Macaca mulatta: one gene and its partner. The protein of the gene in region 1 interacts with the protein of each later gene in a biochemical or structural test. Links are inferred from orthologs where the notes say so. Each region holds a gene or a part of one and is shown in the gene's direction. Other genes may lie near its edges.

What was found.
Region 2: the proteins of FKBP4 (region 1) and GLMN form a complex in vitro, tested with the Homo sapiens proteins (2 studies listed by BioGRID). The link is inferred for Macaca mulatta from reciprocal best matches to the Homo sapiens genes FKBP4 and GLMN.

The regions. Positions count from the first base shown.
Region 1 is NC_133416.1:3,698,988-3,702,477, forward strand, and holds the end of FKBP4 (peptidyl-prolyl cis-trans isomerase FKBP4), read left to right. Parts: intron 1-138; coding exon 139-378; intron 379-2,174; coding exon 2,175-2,282; 3' UTR 2,283-2,950; downstream 2,951-3,490. UniProt on the Homo sapiens protein: Immunophilin protein with PPIase and co-chaperone activities. Component of steroid receptors heterocomplexes through interaction with heat-shock protein 90 (HSP90).
Region 2 is NC_133406.1:148,020,708-148,024,889, forward strand, and holds the start of GLMN (glomulin), read left to right. Parts: upstream 1-1,307; 5' UTR 1,308-1,370; intron 1,371-2,254; 5' UTR 2,255-2,284; coding exon 2,285-2,323; intron 2,324-2,754; coding exon 2,755-2,880; intron 2,881-4,182.

The DNA.
Region 1 (3,490 bases):
TGCCCCAGGCCTTGTTCTTCCTGGGGTGGAGCCAGCCATTTGCAGTCCTGCTGAGGGGTACTTTTGGAACCCAGTCTTGGCCAGATGAGCTACAAGCCCTGAGCTCCCACGATGTTGCTTCCTCCCTGCATCCTTTAGGCCCTAGAATTGGACAGCAACAATGAGAAGGGCCTCTTCCGCCGGGGAGAGGCCCACCTGGCCGTGAATGACTTTGAACTGGCACGGGCTGATTTCCAGAAGGTCCTGCAGCTCTACCCCAACAACAAAGCCGCCAAGACCCAGCTGGCTGTGTGCCAGCAGCGGATCAGAAGGCAGCTTGCCCGGGAGAAGAAGCTCTATGCCAATATGTTTGAGAGGCTGGCTGAGGAGGAGAACAAGGTGAGGATTGGGGTGGGGAACAGCGGGAATAGCATCCCTCCACGGAACCTGGCTACTGTGGGCTCTTGGTGCCTTTGGTTGTCTGTGCCGATCCCAGAAACCAAAAGTTGCCCTTTTCCCTGGAGCATTAAGGAGCATGTGTTCTCTGCTATTGGGGCCGTGTTCTGTGATCAGTGCTAGGATCCTACCCACAAGCCCCAGAAGTTGGGTTGGTTGCTCTGAGTGTAATTCCCGATTTATGTTTTCTTGTGGGCCAGGCACGGTGGCTCACACCTGCAATCCCAGCACTTTGCAGGGCCAAAGTGGGAGGATCACTTGAACCCAGTAGGTAGAGACCTCAGTGACTTATGATGGCACCACTGCACTCCATCCTGAGTGACAAAATGAGACCCTGTCTAAAAAAAAAAAAAAAAAGCTAGATGCTTTTTATGTGTGATTAAATAAATGATACATTTACGTAGTTAAATTCAAACTGTACCAGAGTATATACAGTCAAAAGTCTGCCTCCCCCACCAGAAGCAGCTGACCCTTCAGGTTCTTGTATGGTTCCAGTGTATTGCATCAGTGCACAGGCAGACATTCATGTTGCTTTCTCCCTTTCCCCTAACAAGAGGCAACGTGCTCTATCATTTGGCACATACTGTGCTTTTTTCACATGATAGTAGCTGGAGGCTTATTTTACATCAGTATTTAAAGAACTTTTACATTCTTCTTTAGGCTTACATAGTATTCCATTGTGTGGATGTGGCTTATCTTAGTCAGTCAGTCCCCTTTTAGTCTTCCAGTGTTGTTGGTGTTTTTTTTCTGAGACAGTTTCACTCTGTCACCCAGGCTGGAGTGCAGTGGCACGATCTTGGCTCACTGCAAACTCTGCCTCCTGGGTTCAAGCGATTCTCCTGCCTCAGCCTCCCGAGTAGCTGAGATTACAGGTTCCCGCCACCACACCCGGCTAATTTTTGTATTTTTAGTAGAGACGAGGTCTCACCATGTTGACCAGTCTGTCTCGAACTCCTGACTTGAGTGATCTGCCTGCCCCTGCCTCCCAAAGTGGTGGGATGACAGGTGTGAGCCACCATGCCTGGCCAGTCTTAAACAGTGTTCTAAACCAGCACTGTCCAGTAGAAATACAGTATCAACCACATGTAATTCAAAATTTTCTGGTAACCATGTTAAAAAGGTGAAAAACAAATGGAATTAAATTTTAGTTGCATTTGTGTATTTTTCAAACCATCTTCAAAATCCAATATATATTTTGCACTAAAAACACATGAGTTTGAACTAGCCACTTACAGTAGTGGCTACCATACGGGACAGTACTGCTTAGAACAGCATTGCAGTGAGTAACCTTGTGAGTTCATAATTTGTACATATATAAGTGTTTAGTTTTGTTTGAAACAGTGTCTCTTGCCCTGTCGGCCAGGCTGGAGTGCAGTGGCACAGTCTCAGCTCACTGCAACCACCACCTCCAGGGCTCAAGCAATCCTCGTCTCAACCTCTCGAGTAGCTGGGACTACAGGTGCATGCCACCACGCCCAACTAATTTTTGTAATTTTTGTTGAGCTGAGGTTTCACTGTGTTGCCCAGGCTGGTCTCAAACTCCTGGGCTCAAGCAATCTGCCCACCTCAGCCTCCCAAAGTTCTGGGATTACAGGTGTGAGCCACCAGGCCTGGCCTATACAGATATATTTTTAGGACAGATGTAGGAGAATGGGTGTATCTGTGTAATTCTGCTAGAAATTAAGTGTGTGTTTTTTCACTTGCGATGTCAGCCTCTTTGCTGTTCCTCTTCCTTGCAGGCCAAGGCAGAGGCCTCCTCAGGAGACCACCCCACTGACACAGAGATGAAGGAGGAGCAGAAGAGCAACACGGCAGGGAGCCAGTCTCAGGTGGAGACAGAAGCATAGCCCCTCTCCACCAGCCCTACTCCTGCGGCTGCCTGCCCCCAGTCTCCCCCCTCCACCCTGTTAGTTTTGTAAAAACTGAAGAATTTTGAGTGAATTAGACCTTTATTTTTCTATCTGGTTGGATGGTGGCTTTAGGGGGAAGGGGGAAAGGAGTAGGCTGGGGGATTGAGGTGGGGAATCATTTTAGCTGGTGTCACCCCCTCTTCCCTTCCCCCTTTGCACATGAACATATGTCCATCCATACATATTCATCAGAATGTTAATTTATTTTGCTCCCTCTGTTAGGTCCATTTTCCAAGGGTAGAAGAGGCAAGTGGTAGGGATGGGGTCTGATATGAACCCAGGGTGGAGAGGGAGACTCCTGGGCAGCCGTTTTCCTCATCCTTTCCCTCTCCCAGTCCATTTCCAAACGTGGCCTCCATGTGGGTGCTAGGGACATGGGAAAAACCACTGCTATGCCATTTCTTCTCTGTTCCCTTCCTCACCCCCAACGGTGTGGCTGATGTCTTCTGGTGTGATGGTGACCACCCCTTGCTCCCTGTTCTGGTATTTCCCCTGTCAGTTTCCCCTCTCAGCCAGGTTGTGTCCCGAAATCCCCTCAGCCTCTTTTCCGCACGTTGCTGAAGGTCCAGGCTTGCCTCAAGTTCCGTGCTTGAGCAATAAAGTGGAAACAATAAAACCTGGGTGTCAGACAACCCTTTTTGTTCAGCCTTGGAGGGGTGGGTATGGGTGGGTACATAATGGGTAGTGGCAAAATTAAGGGGTCACCCACTTAGTCCCAGTGGAGCTTAAATAAGTGCAGCATCTCAAGTAGACACCGTAGTTGGGCAGGAAGCAGCCCCACGATGCAGGGCTTCCTGAGCACTGCACAGGCTGCAGCTGGGACTTGAGTCTATGCACTCCCTCCCTCCAGCAACCTGGCAGTTTTTAGTGCCTCTGGTTTTCTTCCCTGACGCTTAGGAAGAGGAAAGTATCAAGATCTAGAAGACTGGGACACCATGCATATGCATTTTGAAGTTGGAATTGGTCTTCTGCCTACCTCTGATCTGGCAGAGGTATCTGTGCATTTTGGTTTCTTAACAAGGTAAAACTCCTGGTGTCACTAACCTCTGTCAGATAACTTTTACATGATTAAGGTCGAGAGTAAAGAGGGGTCATGCCCAGCTTCCTTCCCAGCCTTAACAGGAAACAGCTTGTGCTTTTTTTCT
Region 2 (4,182 bases), on another chromosome or scaffold:
TATGCCATTGTAGTTGTCCATGTAGCTGTCATACCTTTTAGAAGCATCTTCTTGTTTCAAAGTAGTTGTCTGTTTAGTACCTACAACAAAAATACAGTCATGTGCCACATAATGACATTTCGTAAACGACGGACAGCATACAGACAGCGGTCTCATAAGACTAAAATACTGTATTTTTACCGTACCTTTTCTATGTTTAGATATACAATTGCCTACAGTACTTAGTACAGTAACATGCTGTGCAGGTTTGCAGCCTGGGAACAATAGGCTGTACCATATAGCCTAGTGTGTAAGTAGGCTATACCATCTAAGTTTGTGTAAGTGCACTCTATGATGGTCACATAAGGATGAAATCGCTTAACAACGCATTTCTCAAAATGCATCCCCGCAGTTAAGCTACACATGGTGGCAGTAGGTCAGGCCTACACAAACACATTAGGTACAAGATAGATTCCTACACAAATAACAAACTAGACGAATTTTTCTTCTTTTCCACCTATTTTATGTCCAATCGTGTGTAAATCAAAATGAAATAGGTAAAGGGCAAGCAATTTGTTTTTGCAAATTGATTACTGTCTAATTTTTCTTGGTTAAAATGTATCTCTTTGGGGATTGAATTTTCTTCTGTATCATAGTTGCTTAATTAATCATTCCTGAAAATCTGAGATCTGGGTACTTTTTAGGGAAACCTCTCTCTCCGTCTGCCAAACGTCCTCTTTGGGAGAAGAGGGGAGTCCGGCACCTCAAAGAACCAGGCACCCAAGCAATCTGGAAAGGAGGACCGGTCCTAGGTTCAAGACCAGCTGCCAACGCTGCCCTAGTCACTTGCCCCGAACCCCGGGGACCCTAGGCCTGGGTTCCCGGCGCCTCCACTGTACTTTCTCTCAGAGGCTGGGGCCATGGCCCGCGTGAGGGAAATCTTGCAACACTGGCGTAAAGGGGTGAGGGCCGGCCAGGAGATCTTTCCCAGGGGGAGCGGACGGCGGTGGGAAGCTTTCGGCCTTCTCTACCTGGGAGAACCCCTCCCCTGAAGCAGCCTTTCAGGATCGCCCGTGCGCTTCGGTTTAGAACTCGAGATCGGGGTCCAGCTTTCAGGGTCCCAAAGTGAGAAGACATCCTTGCTCCTACCTGTGGCTTTTCGAGAGCGGCGAGGAGCCCCGGCCTTGCGGCCGGCAGAACCCGGCCCAGTACAGTCCGCCATCGGGGAGAGTAGTCTGCGGAACCCGGACTAGCTCCGGCGTCTCGCCCCGAAGCCCCGCCTTCCTACGCGTAGCGCGAGGCGGACCCCGCTGGCGTGGGGCGGGGCCAGAAGAGCGGGCTAAGTGGCCGGAGGAGGTGGCGGCGGCTGGGAGAGGCGAGAGATCTGGCTGGTAAGTGGAGTAGTGGAGAGGTTCGGGGTGGCCAGGGCTCGCGGTTGGCCGTGAGCCGCGGCGGACTTGGTGCCGCGGGCCGACTAGGCCACGCGAGGTGGTGGAGCCTGCACACCTAGGCGAGCAGGAATCGGAAGACATGGCTTCCTCTGATGCCGCCAGCACGCGCGCTGGGGTGTTATTCGGCTTATAGCGCGCTGCGCTGAGAACCGGGCTGACCCGCGTCACTACTGAGGGTTTGGGGCTGAGCCTTGCCTCCGGGAGAAGCGATGGTCTCCTCCTGAAGGCCGCCGTTGCCTTGCCTCCGTGTGATACAGTGATTTCACTAGCTGGATTGATCACTTTGGGTACTGCAACTCCTAGAGAGAAATGGGATGGAGGGCATCTGAATCTTCACCCCCTATAGATAAACTTGTGTTGCACCCCAATTTTTGTGAGGTGAGACATTAAAAAATCCCCTAATGATTAGAATTTTGATTTCAGGTCCACCTTTTGGAATTTTTTTTTCATAAAAGAAGTACTTTGCTTTTTAAAAAGCCCTTTAGTTCGTATTTGCCTCGCCTCTTGGGAGTACTCGGGAGTTTTTTCTTTTTTTCCTTCAAAATAGCTTTCAAAACTATGCTCCTAGAAAACTTAAAAGATGCAATAAGGGCTTCTTAAAAAACACTTTATTTTCTTAGACAAACATACTAAGATTCAGTAATAACATTTCAACCTTAGAACTTTACATTTTCTCCTAGCATGCTATTGGACCAAAAAACACAACAACAAAAACTTTCCATTTTCTTTATTGTATTTACTAGTAATTTATCACACTGAAACATAACTTTTGAATACTTAAATGTAATATCACGGATATTTAACAGTGTGTTTTGTATTTGTAGATTTTAGCGTCGAAACTGGGAGAAATAGGAATGGCTGTAGAGGAACTTCAGTCTATAATAAAGAGATGTGTAAGTATTTTTTTAATTTTTGTAAAATTAAATACCTTTCAAAATATGGGAAGGGCACAGATGGTTTTTAATTATATTTGTGGTCACTCAAATTGTTTATCTTCTTTAATCCTTGCTTTTTTTGACCTGTAAAGAACGTGAGTGGGGGAGGCAGATTGGATTATTTCTCCAGGTGACATACTTATCTAAATAACCTTTTACATTTTAATCCTGATCCTTTTCATAGGTTTCACTGGTACAGTAGATTTCAAGGTCATTTATTAAAGTATTTATTAGGGTAATCCTAATTTTGATACATGTGTTATTTACGTTACATTTACCTAGAATTTAAACAGATTTCCTTTTTTCATAGATAAGTCAAGAAGTTACTGTATTTAATTTTTATTTACATATACATTTGTTCTTTTGTTTTTGGGGGGCTTTTTTGCCAGCAAATCCTAGAAGAGCAAGACTTTAAAGAAGAGGATTTTGGCCTATTTCAGTTAGCTGGGCAAAGATGCATAGAAGAAGGGCACATAGACCAGCTATTAGAAATTATTCAAAATGAAAAGAATAAGGTACGTACAATCTTGGTGTTTACTTTTCAGTCTTGGGAAGAGAATAATCACATGATGCTATTCATCCAGTCATTTATCCATCAAACATTTAAGAATCTACTTAAATTTTCACAGTAGGGAACTGAAGACAAAAAAAGAATTAGAAATATTCAGGTGGGGCGTAGTGGCTCACGCTTGTAATCCCAGCACTGTGGGAGGCCGAGGCAGGCAGATCACTTGAGCCCAGGAGTTTGAGACTAGCCCGGGCAACAGAGTAAGGCCCTGTCTCAGAAAAAAAGAAAAGAAAAGAAACAGTCATATACTTGAAGGTACTTACAATCTGGTCAAACAGATAAACATGTAAACAACTAACAATAATGAGGCAAAATAAATAAAATAAGTGCTATAGTTGAAGTAAAGAGTTTTTAGAAGAAACAGAATTACTTCTGGTTTAGGGAGTCCAAAAATAGTGTTTGGGTTATTAATTTACATTGAAAAATATACATATCAAGCAGGCTAAATATTCATTTTGGGTGATCAGCCCATTCTCCAGCCAAATGTGTATGGAAAACCAAATTTTAATTAAAACAGTATTTTATGTGCTTAGAATCAGAACAGGAGGAAAGCTATATGTCATTATGCTAGCCAGTATCATCCAGTTACAATAGTTTGAGAAGTCCTCTACAATAGAAAAGGATCTTATTTGTGAATCAGGAATAACTTTTTCCTGGGACACTGTCTTGGCAACACCCTGCCAAATTTTGTGTCTTTGGATACTCCTTATAAGGAAGACTGCTATGGTTTGGTTCTGTGTCCCCACCCAGATCTCACCTTGAATTGTAATAATCCCTGTGTGTCAAGGGTGGGACCAGGTGGAGGTGATTGAATCAAGGGGGTGGTTTCCCACATGCTTCTCATCATAGTGAGTGAGTTCTCACGAGGTCTGATGGTTTTATAACCATCTGGCATTTCCCCTGTTGGCACTCAGCCCCTCTCCTGCTGCCCTGTGAAGAGGTGCCTTCCGCCATGGTTGTAAGTTTCCTGAGGCCTCCCTAGCCATGTGGAACTGCATGTCAATTAAACCTCTTTTCTTTCTAAATTACCCAGGCTTAGGTATTTTTTCATAGAAGCAGCGTGAGAACAGACTAATACAAAGACCATCTTCTTTCTAGGTACACAGTCTTTCTTCATTTGCAGTGCTACTTATTTATTAGAAGTTTCTTTCTCGATATCACAGTGTAGTCGTGTTGACCTGTGTTTCTCTCCAGGGCATCTTGATTGGATTTGGGGGATTCCTAAAACTTTTTAATCATACATTATTAT